Linked DNA regions of Sus scrofa. Each later gene encodes a partner of the first gene's protein in a complex. Links are inferred from orthologs where the notes say so. Each region holds a gene or a part of one and is shown in the gene's direction. Other genes may lie near its edges.

Region 1 (4,270 bases):
CTTCTCTCATTACTGCTCCTCTACCTATGCTGTTTCCTGGGCCTGGAACGTACTTAAGCTTCCTTCCACTCTGCCTGGCTAAATCTACCTTCTCCTTTAAGTGTCAGCAAATTCCTCATCTCTCCCAAGGGGTCCTTCCCTAACCCACCATATCACGTGTGTTCCCTGTCACACATCAAAATCCTTGCAGTCCACACAGTTACATCTACCAGCCTGGGTAGGACTCTTGTTCTCTCATATGAGTATTGCTAGCACTTGCTCAGGGCCTGGTGCGCAGGAAATGCTCAGTGACTAGTGGCTGAACCCCAAGTGTGACTCTGAGCCCCATTCCACCAACTCCCCGGGTCTGACCTGTGAAGTGTCCACGTCAAAGAATGTCTGATAGTAGCCAAAGGTCCAGAAACCAGGCTGCTGCTTCTCCTCCTGTAGGAGCTGAACAGTGTGGGCTTTCAGTGAGGGGTGAAGGGCAGCAGGGACTAGACAAAGGCAGGGCACAGAGACTTAGGGGACCCACCGCTGCCTTGTCACTCTCCTCTGCATCATCCTCAGTTCCATAGCTGCCCCCTGAGCCCATGGCCACAGCCACATGCCCCTGGGGGGTCAACTGATCACTTCTGGTGGTGGTCGCTTCTGGGGTCTGGGCCAGCAAATTAGTGGCTTCCTCGAACTCTGCTGAGAAGGAATATGGGACACAGGTGTATTTGAAGGGGTCAAGACAATTTGGTTCTGCCCACTGCTCATCTGGGGGCCAAGACTAACTGTGACCACCTCGGTGTTCCCCCCAACCCAGGGTACAGCTTCCTCAATTTTGGGGAGTGGGAAAGAGGTGTGTCCCCTTCCCCTCACTCCTAACACTGGACCGCAATTGAGGGCTGGTATGGGGTAGAGGCTCAGGTTTGAGGTCTGAGTTTAGGGCTGGAGCGAGGTTCCTGCCTGGGTCAGGTTTCACAGCTGACTGGGATTCCGGTTAGATGTGAGCTGGGACCTGGATGGGAGGTTCTGGCCAGTGGAGGGAGTAGGAGTGGGGTCAGACCGCGGCGGCACTCACCGTGGAAGGCCAGCTCGTCCGCCGCTGCCATGATCACTCAGGGGCGTCGCCGCATCCCGCTCTGAGGAGAGAGGCCAATCAGGCCCACCCCAACCCCACTCAGCGCCACTCCTTGAAGCCAACCCTCAGCCCCGAGCCCCGTTTGGCGGCTGACCGTACCGCAGGGGCGTGAACACAGCACTCCCGCCCCCCAGGTGCACCCCCGCCCACCTCACCTGAGGCCGCCTCAACTGGCGTGGCCGGTACTCTCTGCGCCTGCGCGACCCGCCTACCAGCCGGGGCAACCCCAGTCGGACCCGACAGCAACATCCGGCGTCGGTCCGTTTTCTATCGTCTTCCGATGGGAAACTACCTCCGGAAATGTTGACGCTTGCGCAGAAGATATTCACCGGATCTTTTTGTTTCGCATACCAGGCGTTTCTTTTCGGAGTAGGGACGCCCAGCCGGAAGAGGATGGCGGCCGCTGCACTGAAGAGGTTGTGGTCCCGAAGCCGTGGGGAGGCGGGGGACGCTGCGGCTGCAAAGCCTGGCGTGTGGGCGCGGTTGGGTGAGTAGAGGCGCTAGGCGGTGGGGGTGGGGGGCCGCAGCGGCCCGACCGCCCTCATCGCGCTTCTCTCCTCTCAGGAGCTTGGGCCCGCGCGCTGCTCCAGGACTACGCAGAGGCCTGCAGAGACGCGGCGGCGGCAGCGCGAGCCCGGCCCGGGCGTGCAGCCGTGTACGTGGGGCTGCTGGGCGGCGCGGCGGCCTGCTGCGCCCTGGCGCCGAGTGAGGCAGCCTTTGAGGAGGCGCTGCTGGATGCGTCGGGGACGCTCCTGCTGTTGGCGCCGGCCACACGCAACCGCGATTCTGAAGCATTTGTGCAGCGGCTGCTCTGGCTGCGGGGTCGCGGCCGCCTGCGCCACGTGAGCCTGGGCCTCTGCTCGCTTGTGTACGAGGCGCCGTTCGACGCCCAGGTCAGCCTCTACCAGGCCCGCTGCCGCTACCTGCAGCCCCGCTGGGCGGACTTCCCGGACCGGATCTTGGATGTGGGCTTCGTGGGCCGCTGGTGGGTGCTGGGGGCCCGGATGCGCGACTGCGACATCAACCACGACGAGTTCCTGCACCTGCCGGCACATCTACGCGTCGTGGAGCCCCACCAGCTGCACTCGGAAGCCAACGAGCGGCTCTTCGATGAGAAGTACAAGCCTGTAGTGCTCACCGACGATCAGGTGGATCAGGCGCTGTGGGAGGAGCAGGTCCTGCAGAAGGAGAAGAAAGACCAGCTCGCCCTGAGCCAAGCCGATCCCCTGGCGCCCTCGGAAGTCGCTAGATGAAACCCATTGCGGCCTGGGTCCTGACCGGATCCTGAGCCCAAGCAGACTGCCGATCAAGGATTGTGCCGTTGGTGAGAATCAGCCTCAGACGTAGAGCGATGGAAATAAATTGTGTGCAGTGATCTCTCCGTGGGTTTTCACAAAATTGAGGGCCTCCCTCTCACCTGTTCCTTGTGAGTTGACGCTAATTCAGAGCCTCCTTGGTCTTGGAGTTGGGAAGAGCAGAAGGACATGCCTTGTAACATTTATCACTGCCAGAGTTAGTGAGGAGCCTTAGATGGAAATAAGCCTTTGCACTGGGCTTAAAGATTCCTCCGACTGAGGTATCACAGTTGTTAGGTGACTCCCAAGCTCTCCTAAGAACTTTTAGATTTTCTTTTTTCTTTTTTTTGTTCTTTTAGGTCCGCACCTACGGCATATGGAGGTTGCCAGGCTAGGGGTCTAATCAGAGCTGTAGCCCCTGGCCTACACCATAGCCACAACAACGTGGGATCCAAGCCGCATCTGCGACCTACACCACAGCTCAGGGCAACATTGGATCCTTAACCCACTGAGAGAGGCCAGGGATGGAACCTGCAATCTCATGGTTCCTAGTCCGATTTTTTCACAATGATGGGAACTCCTAGATTTTCATTTTAAAATTTGAACTGAAATGTTTATCCTGTTTCCATGACTAAAATGTTTTTTTAAATTAATTTTTAAAAAATTTATAATTTCAGGAGTTCCCGTCGTGATGCAGTGGTTAACGAATCCGACTAGGAACCATGAGGTTGCGGGTTCGGTCCCTGCCCTTGCTCAGTGCGTTAACGATCCGGCGTTGCCGTGAGCTGTGGTGTAGGTTGCAGACGCGGCTGGGATCCCGCGTTGCTGTGGCTCTGGCGTAGGCCGGTGGCTACAGCTCCAATTAGACCCCTAGCCTGGGAACCTCCATATGCCACAGGGGCAGCCCAAGAAATAGCAAAAAGACAAAAAAAATTTTTATAGTTTCAGAGGAGACTGGAAAAATAGACATCCTGTGTATCTTCACCCAGCTTCCCCCCCCTCCCCCCCCCCCCCCGTCATAACTTATGTAATCATTACCAACCCAAGAAATTAACATTGGTATGATTATTTGGATTTTACGACAAAACTTTTTGCAAAAACAACCTCCCCTGACCCTATTTTTTTAGGGCTGCACCCACAGCAAATGGAAGTTTCAGAGTCTAGGGGTCACCTCAGCCACAGCAATGCAGGATCCAGTCAGCATCTGTGACCTATACTGCAACTTACGGCAACGCCGGATCCTTTAACCCACTGAGTGAGGCCAGGGATCGAACCCTCATTGTCCTGGATAATAGTTAGATTCTTAACCCACTGAGCCACAACAGAAACTCTAAAAACAACCTGTTTTTGGAAAGTTCCCATGTGGCACAGTGGATCTGGCATTGCCATAGCTGTGGCACATACTTTGGTGTGGATTTGATCCCTGGCTGGGGAACTTCCAGATTCCGCGGGTGTGGCCAAAAAGAACTCTCAAAACCAACCTGTTTTTACCATGTGTGTACTGATACTGATGTTAAATGACAAGGAGGGACAAAGCATTTTCTGATCTGGAAATCAACATGGAATCCTAGTTTCTGGTTATGTTTTACTTCAATAACCCTGAAAACACAGAATTCTATAGAAAGGACATGTTGGTATTCAGAGCTGGGTTATGATAATCATACTTTTAAAACTAAAATACTATAGGAATGAGACTACCTCTGTCACCTATGTGACCTATAGCTAGTTAATAAACCAAGACATGAAATAACTTTGTTGTGGCATTGTGTTTATCTTTTTTTCCCCAGTTTTTAAAGTTTTATTGAAGTATAGTTGATTACAATGTGATAATTTTTGCTGTACAACAAAATGATTCAGTTATACATAT
Region 2 (4,257 bases), on another chromosome or scaffold:
CTCTAACCAGCCGCACGGGTTAACCATTTAGATCGCTCCTTGTTCCCAAGGCCCTTGCCTGAGACCTGCCTATGGGGCTGTTCCAACTTCTCTCAGATCCAACTTTGGCTCTTAAGGCATGAATCAGAGTCCTGGGCCCCTCATTCATCTGAAAGGAAAGGGGGGGTGGCAGGGTGTGTTGAGTTTGAGGTGCCTATAGGAAATGACTGGTTTTCATGCTGCTGAGAAGGATTGAAGCTGGAGATAAAAATCTGGGAGCCATTGCTCTGTTAGAGGTGGTGGTAGAAGCCATGAGTGGGTGAACAGCTTCAGAGAGAGCAAGGTGCATGAGAAGAGGATAAAGGATGAGGCCCTGAGCATCCAACAGGAAAGGATCAGGCAGAGGTGCCTGCAAAGTCTGAGGAACTGAAGAGATTCTAGCAAAACCAGGACAGAGGCTCCACCGAAACTGCGAAGAAACTCCGAAGCAGGGAGGAATCGACAGTATCACATACAGCTGAGGAGTCAAGTGAAAGGCATCTGAATTAGTCTCAACAACTGGGAAGCACTGGAGACCTCAGGGCGAGCTTGTTCAGCGGTCTGGTGGGAGCAGAAGCAAGTGAACCACATGCCCTGCTTAGAGGCACAGAGAACTCTGGCGACCAAAGAGGTGTCTCAGTAGACTGGCTACTGCTCACCACCTTCTGCTTCCATTTACAGCTCTCTTAGCTGATACACCCAAACACTCCTAGTCTGGATCAATACAATATTTAGGGATCTATTTTAGTGCCATCGACACTACTGCAAAAGTTCTTCTGGATTCATATACGGTGCTATCTCACAGTTAACCTTCAGGTTCTGAGTCTGCAAGTTCGTAAGCAGTTTAACTGAATCAGCATAATGTAAATTTGGCTTTGCATGGCAACGCTAGTCCCACACCGCTCATTCCACTGACTCGTGGTTGGGGTAGCAGCCTCACTCCACTTCCTACCACTGTCCCGGATTTTTCTTAGCTTGCCTAGCTTCACTCATTTGTTCACTCATTTTTGGCCCCTTCTCTCTCCCCTCAATGGCTTAATTGCTGAATAAAACATTTATTTCATACATTTATGCTACGTCAATTTAGCAAGCACTCTAGCCCACTGCCATCCCACAACCCCCGCAAGCAATCAGTTGGCTCGCAGGGCAGAGATGAGGCTCGCGCGCCCCCTGCTGGCTCTCCTGCGCGCTGCACCCTCCCTCCCTTCCGCCTGTCAGGAGCTCCAGAAGAGGCAGAGACGCGCGTGTCCGCGCAAGGCTTCCTGGGAACTGTCTGGGGGTGTACCTATTAGAACTACAAATCCCAGTACGCACCGCGCTTCAGCCACGAAGAGAGACCTTTCTGGTGACTCTGACTCTTATTTATCATTGCCTTCGGGAATGTTGCACAAGCCTGATTCCGTGTTCACAGAAGGTTTTGAGAGAACATGATAGCACTTCTGCCGCGTGTGCACGAACAGGCTTTCGCGACTTCTTTGGACTCGCCCGGTGTGGCGAATCTGCTGTTGCGTCTCGGTGGCTGTGCGCGCAAGGGCCCACGGGAAGCTTGTGGAATCGCCTGTGGGAAGAAGGACGCCAGGTTTCTTGGGCAGCTACTGTCATGGCGGCGACGGCCCCCAGTGCAGGGGTCTCTGCGCCTGAGGCGGCGGCTTCCACGGAAGCCCCTCTGCAGTACAGCCTTCTTCTGCAGCACCTGGTGGGTGACAAGCGTCAGCCCCGGGTCCTGGAGCCTGGGACCCTGGGCGGGATCCCGAGTCCCGCCAAGAGTGAGGAGCAGAAGATGATCGAGAGGGCGATGGAAAGCTGCGCCTTCAAGGCGGCGCTGGCCTGCGTGGGAGGTGAGGCGAGGTGAGGGGGGCCCTTGGGAGGCCGAGGGCTTGGGCGGCAGCAGGGTGCCCTGCCAAGAAGAACACGCTCCTGAGAGGCAAGGAGTCCGTGGGCCTCGACCTTGACCCACCCCCGCCTGGTTCAGTGAACTTGAGCAGTGCGTCCTTAGACCCTCTAGGCTTCCGTCTCTGGAAATTGGATCAGAGAACCGGCCCTAGATCAGGACCTGGGGGAGTAAGATGGTTGACCTCATTCATTCGTTCACACATTTCTTTGTTCATTCTCTTTTAATTAATCACTTTTCAACAGATTGTCACTGAGTAGCTATCACGTGCCCGGTGATGGAGAGACAAGAGCCTTGTTCTTCTGAAGCTAACCTCTTAATATACATAGAAAGAAAAATGTTGAGAAGGAGCCTGGAGGAGGGCCCTGCAGGGCAGGACACAGCACTTGCAAAGGTCTGGCTTGTAGTGGCTCGAGATTAGAAAAACAGAAAGGCCATTATGACTAGACAGCAGGGAATGGGGGCAGGAGGTGGGAAGAAATCTGGACTTTTTTTTTTTTTTTTAACCTCTTGAGCATTTGAGAATGTAGGTGTCTCTCCTCTATGCAAAGAGGCTGACCACATTTGCAGATGAGTTGAAATCTAATTGAGAATGAAAGGCAATTAAGAAGTGAAGGTCATAATTCCCTGGTGGCTCAGAAGATTAAGGATCTGGCGTTGTCACTGCTGTGGTGCAGGTTTGAGCCCTGGCCCAGGAATTTCTGCATGCCACGGGTGCAGCCAAAAAAGAAGAGAGAAGCAGAGAGAGACACGAATGTAGCGAGAGTGCAAATATGATGTACGGTAGGAAGAGGAAAGATCTTTTTTGGTTGGGGAAGGCCTTGGAGGAGGTGAGACTGGAGATGTGTCTTGAAGGATGGAGAGTGTGGGTAGACAAGGAGGCGGAGAGATGTCATTTCATGCTGGGGGTGAAAGGAGTTCTTTGTGGCACAGCAGGAACCCAGCCGTTGTCATTGCTGCAGCTCAGGTGGCTGCTTTGGTGCAGGTTGGATCCCTGGCCCAGGAACTTCCACATGCTGTAGACGCAGCCCCCAAGAAAGAAACAAAACAAAACAAAACAAAAACGGGGGTTGAGTGGGGGATTTGGGCTTTTTGCCTGTAGTTTTAAGGGCAGCAATAGATGATTTTTTTTAGAGGGTAGCAGTGGTAGTGAGTATGATGACTGAGGGTGGAGTGTGGCCAGGGAACGTCTGTAGACAGGGAGACCCGAGAGGGAATTTGCTAGACTGAAGCTCCCTGAGCCATGGACTGGGTCTTTTTTCATCAATACCTGACCCTGATAAATCTTACATAGCTGTTAAAATGATGAATGAGTCTTTGTAGTGCCCCAAGGTGGAAGCCATAAAGTCCCGATGTGACTCAGCAGTCACGAACCCGATTGGTATCCATGAGAACATGGGTTCGATCCCTGGCCTTGCTCAGTGGGTTAAGGGCCTGGCGTTGCCGTGAGCCGTGGTGTAGGTCACAGACGCGGTTCAGATCTGGTGTGGCTGTGGCTGTGGTGTAGGCCAGTGGCTGTAGCTCTGATTCCACCCCTAGCCTGGGAACTTCCATCTGCTGCAGGTGCTGCCCTAAAAAGCAAAAATAAATAAATAAATGAAAAGAAAAAATGCCCTTGCATTTTGGGGCAGGAGTGACTAGGAAGAAGGAGCCATAAACAAGAACGTCTGGAGGGGCGGCGCCCGAGATTTCCTTGAGCGTTTACAGACGTCGAGGTGCTGAGAGGGCATCCACATGGAGATGCCCAGCAGGCTCCGGAAGGTCAGCTGTGCACAGCAGCGTAGGGGTAGCCATTCGCTTTGTGACTTGAGGAAAGTTACTTAACTTCCTGGAGCCTCAGCTTCTTCGGCTACAGAAAGGAGAGGATAATAAGATCTACCTCACCGGATTATTGTCAAGAATAAATACGACTGGCTGTAAAGTGTCAGGGTGACTGGCACGTGGTGTTTGCCAAATGACTATTACGAATGCACTGTTGTCAAGGGGCGATTTGCAAAGTTTTTACCTGAACTTGAGGGTGGGTGGTTTGCATGAAAAGTGTGGCAAGAGAAAGAGGGAAAGACACTAAATCTTGAGGAATGTTAGCAAATGAAAGGAGGAGGAGGAAATCCAAGAAGAGCAGACGAGAAGCTGTCAACAAGATCTGGATTTTGTGATGTGGAAACCAGGCAAGGGGAGAGTTTTTGAGGCGGGGGTGGGGGGTGGGATGGTTCCTTTCGCTGGCAGCCACCCAAAAGGTGCTATTTGAGCGTGACCCCACTGCAGTAATCCAGAAACCATGCCAAAGAAATCTTCGTCTCTGTGTGTGTTTGTAGGATTTGTCTTGGGAGGTGCATTTGGGGTGTTCA
Region 3 (3,497 bases), on another chromosome or scaffold:
TGAGTCCATCACCAGAGCCCCCATAGCCACCAGACACAATGCTGGTTTCATTGAGGTTGGGTCCTGACACCATCACCTGCTGGAGGTCCTATAGGCCAGAGAAGAGGGGGGCTTCAGGAACATATGGGCAGCTGAAGCATTTTGGGGGTGAAAACAAGCTTGGATTGAAGCATCATAGAGAGAGCACACAAGGGAAGTCTGCACAGAATCAGAACAAAGATTGGTAAAAAGACTGAAGGAAATCAGGTGAGTTGGGGGAAGGCTACTGGAAGAAGGAGAGAGCTCAGGGTTTAAGAGTTGGGATTCCTCAACTGAAACAATGTGAAGAATCAAACAGAAGCACCTGCTCCAGCCCATCATCCTCAGGAAGCTGCCCCGCGTCACCATTCCCGTGGATGGGGATCTCCATTGTGGCTGCCTTCCCTAGGATCCCGTCCGTCATGGCGAGCGAAGGGACTGGAGTCAAAGTCTCCACCCCAGCGCCCTGCAAAGCCCAACACAGACAGTTCTGGAAACGGGCCAGTTCTCCGAAGAGGAAGGTCTCCCCTGCCCTTGCAGAGGCCGTCCCGGGGCTTCAGTGTGGTGGGGTCTGCCCACCACTCTTCCCTCGGGGCTTTGTCTTTCTCCCTTCCAAGGTGCAAAGTTTTACACACAGGCACCCAGGCCTCAGGTGTGCCTGACCAGAGGTCATGTTCTCATGACCCCCCCACCCCCACCCCCCCAGCAGTCCAGGGATCATTCATGCATTCAGTCCTTCCACAGACATTTAATGAGTGCCTACTACATGCCACGCACTATTTGAGGCAATGGAGAGAAAGCCTGTGCTCTCAAGCAGCTTATCCCCACGCAGGTATTCCTCCTCATCAGGAGACAATCCCTTTCCCAGCGCTCAGGTGCCTATCCCCGTTCAGGTATGTTCGCCATTGTTTGGCCTTTCACACTCCTCTAATGTCTCCTCCTCTTTCCTGCAGGTGGTCTCCCCCTCCTCCATCCCATGCACCCCCTCTTCCTGCCCCCACCCCCGCCCCAGGCCTTAGTTGAATCAGTTGGTGTAAGTTCCCGACCCCGGGGAAAAGTCCCTTTGCCCCAGGACATAGGGAGGTGATCCCTTCCAAAGTCAGTTAGGTCTCCCCAGGTGTGTGAGTCTCCGCCCTCCCCCCATACACCTGGGCGTCAGGTGTGTCCTCATCCTTTCCCAGGGCTCAGAAGCATCTTGCCCTCAGGTCAGGTTCGTGCGTTCACCTTGCCCTCGCCCATGCACGTCCCTCTCACCTCGGGCCGGGCCGCTCTTCCCCTCAGGGCGCCAGGCCCGGGCCGCGCGGGGATCTCGGGATCCAGTTCCCGTCGCGATCCTAGCAGCAGGTCAGGGACTCGGCGGAAGTGACGTCCTCTCCCGGGCAGAAGAAGCCGGCCACGTAGCCGATTATGAGGGCGGAAGTGACGTCGCGGGGAGGTGGGCGGGCGCTCCTTGAGCCAACCCCTCTGCCCCTGGGGAGCCATTGAGGTCACTTCCGGGGCGTTCCCTAGAAGCTGTAACGGAAGTGACGTAGGTTGTGCGCCGGCGGCGTGATGGAACAGCAACAGCAGCAGCAGCAGCAGCTGAGAAACGTGAGTGGGAGCTAAGTCGCTTAAGGGCCCTGCATCCAGCTAGCATCCCTGTTCGCATGGCGGAAACCCCAGAGAGCCAGGCATCCAAGGGCTGGGAACCACGGGCCGTGGTACACGGTCCTGGGAAAGCGCCGGCAGCGCGGCCTTGAGTTGAGACGTGGCCCCCTCTTCGCTGAGTTCCTTGTCCCCCTTCCTCCCCAGTTGCGGGACTTCCTGTTGGTCTACAATCGGATGACGGAACTCTGCTTCCAGCGCTGCGTGCCCAGCCTGCATCACCGAGCTCTGGATGCCGAGGAGGTTAGGTGGGGGAACTGAGTAGGGAAGTGCTCCTCGAGCCTCAGAGCTAACCGTGCACTGCTTCCCTCTCCCGTCAATTCCCCTACGTCCGGCCCTGGCTTCCCACGACCTCCGCCCTGAGGCTGGGGATGGGAAGGAGGGAAACGGACCTGACTGGACACCTTTGGCTTCTACTTCCACCCTGTCTTCCTTCCAGGAGGCCTGTCTGCACAGCTGTGCCGGGAAGCTGATCCATTCCAACCACCGCCTCATGGCCGCTTACGTGCAGCTCATGCCTGCCCTGGTACAGCGCCGCATCGCTGACTACGAGGCTGCCTCAGCTGTGCCAGGTGTTGCTGCTGAACAGCCAGAAGCCTCGCCATCTGGCAGCTAGCTGTCCTCAACGCTGAGAAGGGAGGCACTGGATGGACCCTCACGTTGAAGGAGCAGTGGACCTTGGGCAAGATGGAGCCTGTATGTAGAGAATGAGGAGTTGCCTGAGAGCTAGGTACTGTTGCTCCTTTTCCTGGAGCTAATAAACCTGCTGTAATCTGTGCGGTTGATATTCTGGGCAGGGAGAAGTTGCCTTCTGTGTGTGGAAGGAAAACCTCAGCATTCCCAGGCACCTGGTTAAAGGAAGGTCTGTGGGTACAGCTTTAAAATTGGCAACAAGACGCTGGTTCGTGCCCAGACGGCAGAGAAAATGGGAACTCTGTCCTTAAATCTGTCTGACTTAAATGGTTCGCTTAGAGATATTAAGGACCATGGATTAAGAAACCACAGGGCTTTTAGGCACTACCTCTTCGAAAGTCAGTAGCCCCAGACAGATGAAACCTATAGGACTTCTGGGTGTTCTAGAACGTTAACCACTCCCCCAAGTTGTTACTTTCTTAATACTCCCAGAAATTGAGCAGTAAATCCTTTAAACCGAGGAGGTCTGTGTGCTCGTCTTCAGGAGCAGTCAGGGGAAAACTTGGGGAGCCATGTTCTGCACTATAGTCAGACTCAAGGGAGAGAAAACCACAGAAGTAGAGGGTGGTGGCTAAGGGGACAAAAAAAAAAAAAAAAAAAAAAAAAAAACAGAAGAAAGGAAAAGCTTTTGGATGTTACGCTCTTGTCTCACTGCTCGCCTGTGATCTCCTAATTCCAGCCCTGCCCCCTACTCTGCATTGTCCCAGCTGTGCCTATCCCATGGTTTCTAATTCCAGCCTCTCCATTCTTTCCTCATTATTGCCTCCCTTGTGGAGTTTACCTCTGTATTCAGCAGTCTCAGTGGCATGTCACTCCATCCCTGAATTTTTTTGCTGCCCTTGTGTCCTTTTTGTATCATTCCACCTGTTTTACTTATTATTATTTATTTTTTGGCCATGCCATGGCATGCAGAAGTTCCCAGGCCAGGGATCAAACTGAAGCCACAGCAGTGACAATGCCGAGTTCTTAACTGCTCGGCCACCAGGGAACTCCCAGTCCAGCTGTTTTAACTTTTCTGGTCCTCCATTCACACAGCTAGAGGAAAACACAGCTGTGTAGTGAATGCCACTAAATATTCCCAGTCCCAGCTGCAACCAAGCTCTACCAACAAATAGCATTTGGAGGGTTCCTGGTCTGTTTGC
Region 4 (4,208 bases), on another chromosome or scaffold:
AGAGGGTCAGCCGTCCCACGGCTTGTGCTGCTTTCCCCGTCTGTCTGCCTTTCTGCTTCTCCCCATCCTTCCTCTCCAGTGACGCACCCTTTGTGAGGTGCCTTGCACGTGCCAAGTGATGGGCCAGGCTCTGGTTTACATTAAGGGAGACTCCCTTAGATTTAGAGCCGGGCTCCTGAAGACCTCAGTGTCGTCCAGCCAAGGGCCTGTGAAGTGAGCCTTAGGTCTCCCGAATGTTGACTGTCTGAATGTCAATTCTGCAAGTGGTTACTGCAACAACACAGAGAACGCTCCAGTTAGGCCATGTTAATAGTGGGGTCTAGCTTCATATTTTTCATAAAGGATCTGGAAGCAGTTTTCAGGATGGCATTAAATTTTTCTGTACTGTGAAAGGCCAAACTTAGTAACCCGTAAGTGGAGAAAAAGTTACTACAGGTGGCCTCTGAAGACTTGTACCTTTTCTGCCACGGTATTCAACAAGGATCATGGGTAAAACAGAAGGTGTCCCCACAGTGGGTGGCACCATAGTTTCAACACAGCAAATGTTGAATTAAATGCACGAATTACAGAGGGTTTCACAGACTCTTATATTTTAAAAATTGATTTTATTGAAGTATAATTGATTTACAGTGTTTTCATTTCTGCTGTACAGCAGTGATTCAGTTATACATGTATATGTATATATATGTATTATATATTCTTTTTCATATTCTTTTCTATTACAGTTTATCATGGGATATTAAATATAATTCCCTATGCTATACAGAAGGACCTTGAGGTTTATTCAATTTATAGTAGTTTGCATCTGCTAATCCCAAACACCCAGTCCATCCCTCCCCCCACCCCATCCCTTTCAGCAACAAGTCTTTTTTCTGTCTGTGAATCTGCTTCTGTTATGTAGATACCATGATTGTGTTACATTTTAGATTCTACATATAAGTGATAGCATATGGTATTTGTCTTTCTTATTTCACTTAGTAGGAAAATCTTTAGTTCCATCCAGGTTGCTGCAAATGATATTTCATTCGTTTTTATGGCTGAGTAGTATTCCATTGTACATTTGTACCACGTTAACTTCATCCATTTATCTGTTGGTGGACATTAGGGTTGATTCCATGTCTTTCCTATTGTAAACAGCATTGCCATGAACACTGGGGTGCACATCTTTTTAGATTATAGTTTTGTCCATATATATGTGCCCAGTAGTGTGATTGCTGGATCATATGGTAACCCTTATTTTTAGTTGAGGAAACTCCATGCTGTTTTCCATAGTGGCAACACCAATTTATATTCCCATCAACAGTGTAGGAGGGTTCCCTTTTCTCCATACCCTCTCCAGTATTTATTATTTGTAGACTTTTTGATGATGGCCATTCTGACTGGTGTGAGGTGGTACCTCATTGTAGTTTTGATTTGCATTTCGCTGATAATTAGCAATGTTGAGCATCTTTTCATGTGCCTATTGGCCATCTCTATGTCTTCTTTGAAGAAATGTCTATTTAGGTCTTCTACCCACTTTTTGATTGTTTTTTTGTTATTGAGTTATATGAGCTGTTTGAACATTTTGGAAATTAAGCCCTTGTCACATCATTTGCAAATATTTTCTTCCAGTCCGTAGGGTGTCTTTTCATTTATGGTTTTCTTTGCTGTGCAAAGCTGTGCATTTGATTATGTCCCATTTGTTTACTTTTGCTCTTATTTCTGTAGCCTTGGGAGGATGACATAGGAAAATACTGGTACAATTTATGTTTACCATCTAATATTAATGTTGTTATACCTTAGGTATAAAGCTAAGCAAGTCCTAAAGAAGAACTATGAACATAATCAATTGGATAGCATGGCTTCCTTGCTTTTCATTTGAGAAAGATTAGGGCTGAGAAGGACATACATGTATGTTCTATGGAATTTCTTAGAAGTGTGACAGGACTTATTTAAGTGTCGCAAGTCCCAAAATCCTCTGGGAGGAGGTAGAGGCTGGTGAAACCTTTTTCATGAGCAGTGTCATTGGGCTGTTTCCAGAACCAGCATGGTGTCGACACAGGCACTGAATATTCCTTTAAAAGCCCATTTTGCTGAAGCCCCCGAGTCTGACGCTTTCCACAGTATCCTGCTGTAGTGGTGACGGGGTTCCCGCCGACACGGGCAGGTCCTCAACAGTCTCTTCTCCCCAGGGAACAGGGGGCTTCTTCAGCATCGACAGTGAGGAGTACGAAGCGATGCCCGTGGAGGTGAAGCTGCTCCCCAGGAAGCTGCGGTTCTTCTGTGACCCGCGGAGGAGGGCAGAGATGCTGCAGAGCTGGGCTGAGTGAGCAGATGGGCAACTGCCCTTTAGGCCACCCTGGGACCAAAGGGGAGCAGAGCCTCCGAATCCCCGTCCCCGCCGCCTTGTCAGAGGATCCCAAGGGCCCGTCTGCGGCAAGTACCCCCTGCCCTCCTCTCTCTGTGCGTTGCAGCTTCCCAGCCAGCGTCCCGGCCGCGCGGGCTTTGACTGGTGCCCCCTGGTCCCTCCTGCGTAGTGCCCCCCGTCAGGCGGGCGCCGAGACATCCCCACCCTCCGTGGATGGAAAAGGGCCGGACCTTGTTCTCTCCCCACCGCGGACGGCAGGCTCCGAGGCTGTGTCCTCTCCTGTCTGTGGCCGTCCCGGGAAGGGCCCGCCTTCCCGCCGCTGCCTTGTCCTGTTTCCAGGCTCCTCCATGGGTGCTGCTGCTCCATGAGCTCCGGTTCTCATTTAGCGGGTTCCAGTTCTCTCCTCGGTCTAAGAAACATATGTGGGGTGTCCGTCTTCAGCCATGGCTGATACTGTAAAATATTAGGGTTTCCCCCCCCTAAAGTCGTGCTTCTGAAGTGTTGGTTTGCATGAGAACCACCTGGGGCACTTGTCGAAGATTTACTCAATTGGGGACCACCCCAAACCTAGTCACTCAATCTGAGGATGGAGCCCCGGAATCTGCCTTTTTAAAAAGGCTGCCACCCTCCCCGGGTGGTTCTGGTTCAGGAAGTCCTGAGGCCGAAAGGGACACACAGTCCTGCCAAGCAGTGGTCCACAGGTCTCCTGCTCCTCTGCTTCCTCAGAGTGTTTTGGAAAACCTTGTAGCCCCTCCCACGTTAACATCCCCAATTTCTCATGGGAAGTTTGAGTTGCCAAAGTATATACTTTCTGGTGTCATGTAAATATTGATATTTTAAAATAAAACTGTTACATCACTCTTTTAAACATATTCAGTATAATTGAAATACATAGCAATTTGACATTCATCATCCATTTACAAAAATAAATTGTTTAGTAGTTGGAAATATCCATTTTCCTCATATGCGTATTTCCTACCGCTTTCAGCAAAGTATGCTATCATGTTTTTATGCTGGAAAATTTTTTCACTCAACCTATTTTCTTGCCAACAAAAGCTATAAATTGAAATGACTTTTTTTAGTTCAAGTGTTAACTCAGTACAGAATAAATGTTATCAATTATTGAAATACAACTGATTATAAATTTTTAATAATTAAGAATTAACATTAGAATGCTCTTTATCCTCATGAGTTCATTTAGCCAAAAGCACATGTTACTTACAGCTGAGACAAGGCTCAACATTATAGATGTTTAAAATTCTGTTCTAACATTGCCATGCAGTTCTTTGAATTGTTTGAGTCGCCTCGAAAAATCACAGTGATGTAGCAACTTCACAGCTGGATTCGACCCCTCCGTTAGTTCGTTGAAAGTGGAGAACTAGAAGCCGTCTGCTTCCCTAGGGACTTGTCAGCTGGGCATTGTAATTGGTGCCCCGAGGTTCTTCTACTCGAGAGGGAAGCACACCACGGTAAGGGGGGTGAGACGTAAGGCTTTCTCTTTGTGCGGAGGAAGGAAAATTGCACAAAGGGGAAGAGGGGTGGGAGAACGGGCAGGAGGCTCATGCTCAGGCAGGTCAGTTTTAGGACCACACACGCACCCGCACCCACGAACCCTTCGGAGAGTGAGGACCAATGCTTGAAGGGGTCTAAGGCAGCTATGAAAAGCCCATAACATAATGCTTACCTGTTTGCCTCTGTGTTCTTCAGAGTGGAGTTAAAAGCTGTGCTTTTGCAAAACAAATAACAAAACAAAGCAAAAAGGAGGCAGGTCCAGGAGTTCCTGTTGTCAGGCTCGTTACCACTGAGCCACTAGTATCCACGAGGATGCAGGTTGATCCCTGGCCTCGCTCCGTGGGTTAAG

Evidence for each region.
Region 2: TIMM29 (region 1) and TIMM22 share a complex: the UniProt entries of both Homo sapiens proteins name them as parts of the TIM22 complex. The link is inferred for Sus scrofa from reciprocal best matches to the Homo sapiens genes TIMM29 and TIMM22.
Region 3: TIMM29 (region 1) and TIMM10B share a complex: the UniProt entries of both Homo sapiens proteins name them as parts of the TIM22 complex. The link is inferred for Sus scrofa from reciprocal best matches to the Homo sapiens genes TIMM29 and TIMM10B.
Region 4: the proteins of TIMM29 (region 1) and AGK are in contact, whole or in part, in a cryo-EM structure (PDB 7CGP), measured with the Homo sapiens proteins. The link is inferred for Sus scrofa from reciprocal best matches to the Homo sapiens genes TIMM29 and AGK. Residues at the interface, in NP_612367.1 of Homo sapiens: Tyr145, Gln146, Cys149, Arg150, Tyr151, Leu152, Gln153, Arg155; in NP_060708.1 of Homo sapiens: His33, Asn36, Arg39, Arg40, Cys43, Gln44, Gln47, Asn51, Lys82, Pro86, His89, Leu90.

What each region holds. Positions count from the first base shown.
Region 1 is NC_010444.4:69,648,217-69,652,486, forward strand, and holds TIMM29 (mitochondrial import inner membrane translocase subunit Tim29), read left to right. Parts: upstream 1-1,453; 5' UTR 1,454-1,501; coding exon 1,502-1,595; intron 1,596-1,672; coding exon 1,673-2,361; 3' UTR 2,362-4,153; downstream 4,154-4,270. Other genes in the region: protein YIPF2, read right to left, coding at 352-432, 515-669, 1,049-1,079. UniProt on the Homo sapiens protein: Component of the TIM22 complex, a complex that mediates the import and insertion of multi-pass transmembrane proteins into the mitochondrial inner membrane.
Region 2 is NC_010454.4:46,900,315-46,904,571, reverse strand, and holds the start of TIMM22 (mitochondrial import inner membrane translocase subunit Tim22), read left to right. Parts: upstream 1-1,361; 5' UTR 1,362-1,618; coding exon 1,619-1,856; exon of another isoform or gene 1,857-1,866; intron 1,867-4,224; coding exon 4,225-4,257. UniProt on the Homo sapiens protein: Essential core component of the TIM22 complex, a complex that mediates the import and insertion of multi-pass transmembrane proteins into the mitochondrial inner membrane. In the TIM22 complex, it constitutes the voltage-activated and signal-gated channel.
Region 3 is NC_010451.4:3,247,941-3,251,437, reverse strand, and holds TIMM10B (mitochondrial import inner membrane translocase subunit Tim10 B), read left to right. Parts: upstream 1-1,462; 5' UTR 1,463-1,569; coding exon 1,570-1,608; intron 1,609-1,809; coding exon 1,810-1,905; intron 1,906-2,101; coding exon 2,102-2,278; 3' UTR 2,279-2,964; downstream 2,965-3,497. Other genes in the region: ARFIP2 (arfaptin-2), read right to left, coding at 1-88, 344-442. UniProt on the Homo sapiens protein: Component of the TIM22 complex, a complex that mediates the import and insertion of multi-pass transmembrane proteins into the mitochondrial inner membrane.
Region 4 is NC_010460.4:8,263,169-8,267,376, reverse strand, and holds the end of AGK (acylglycerol kinase, mitochondrial), read left to right. Parts: intron 1-2,171; coding exon 2,172-2,309; 3' UTR 2,310-3,616; downstream 3,617-4,208. UniProt on the Homo sapiens protein: Lipid kinase that can phosphorylate both monoacylglycerol and diacylglycerol to form lysophosphatidic acid (LPA) and phosphatidic acid (PA), respectively. Does not phosphorylate sphingosine. Phosphorylates ceramide.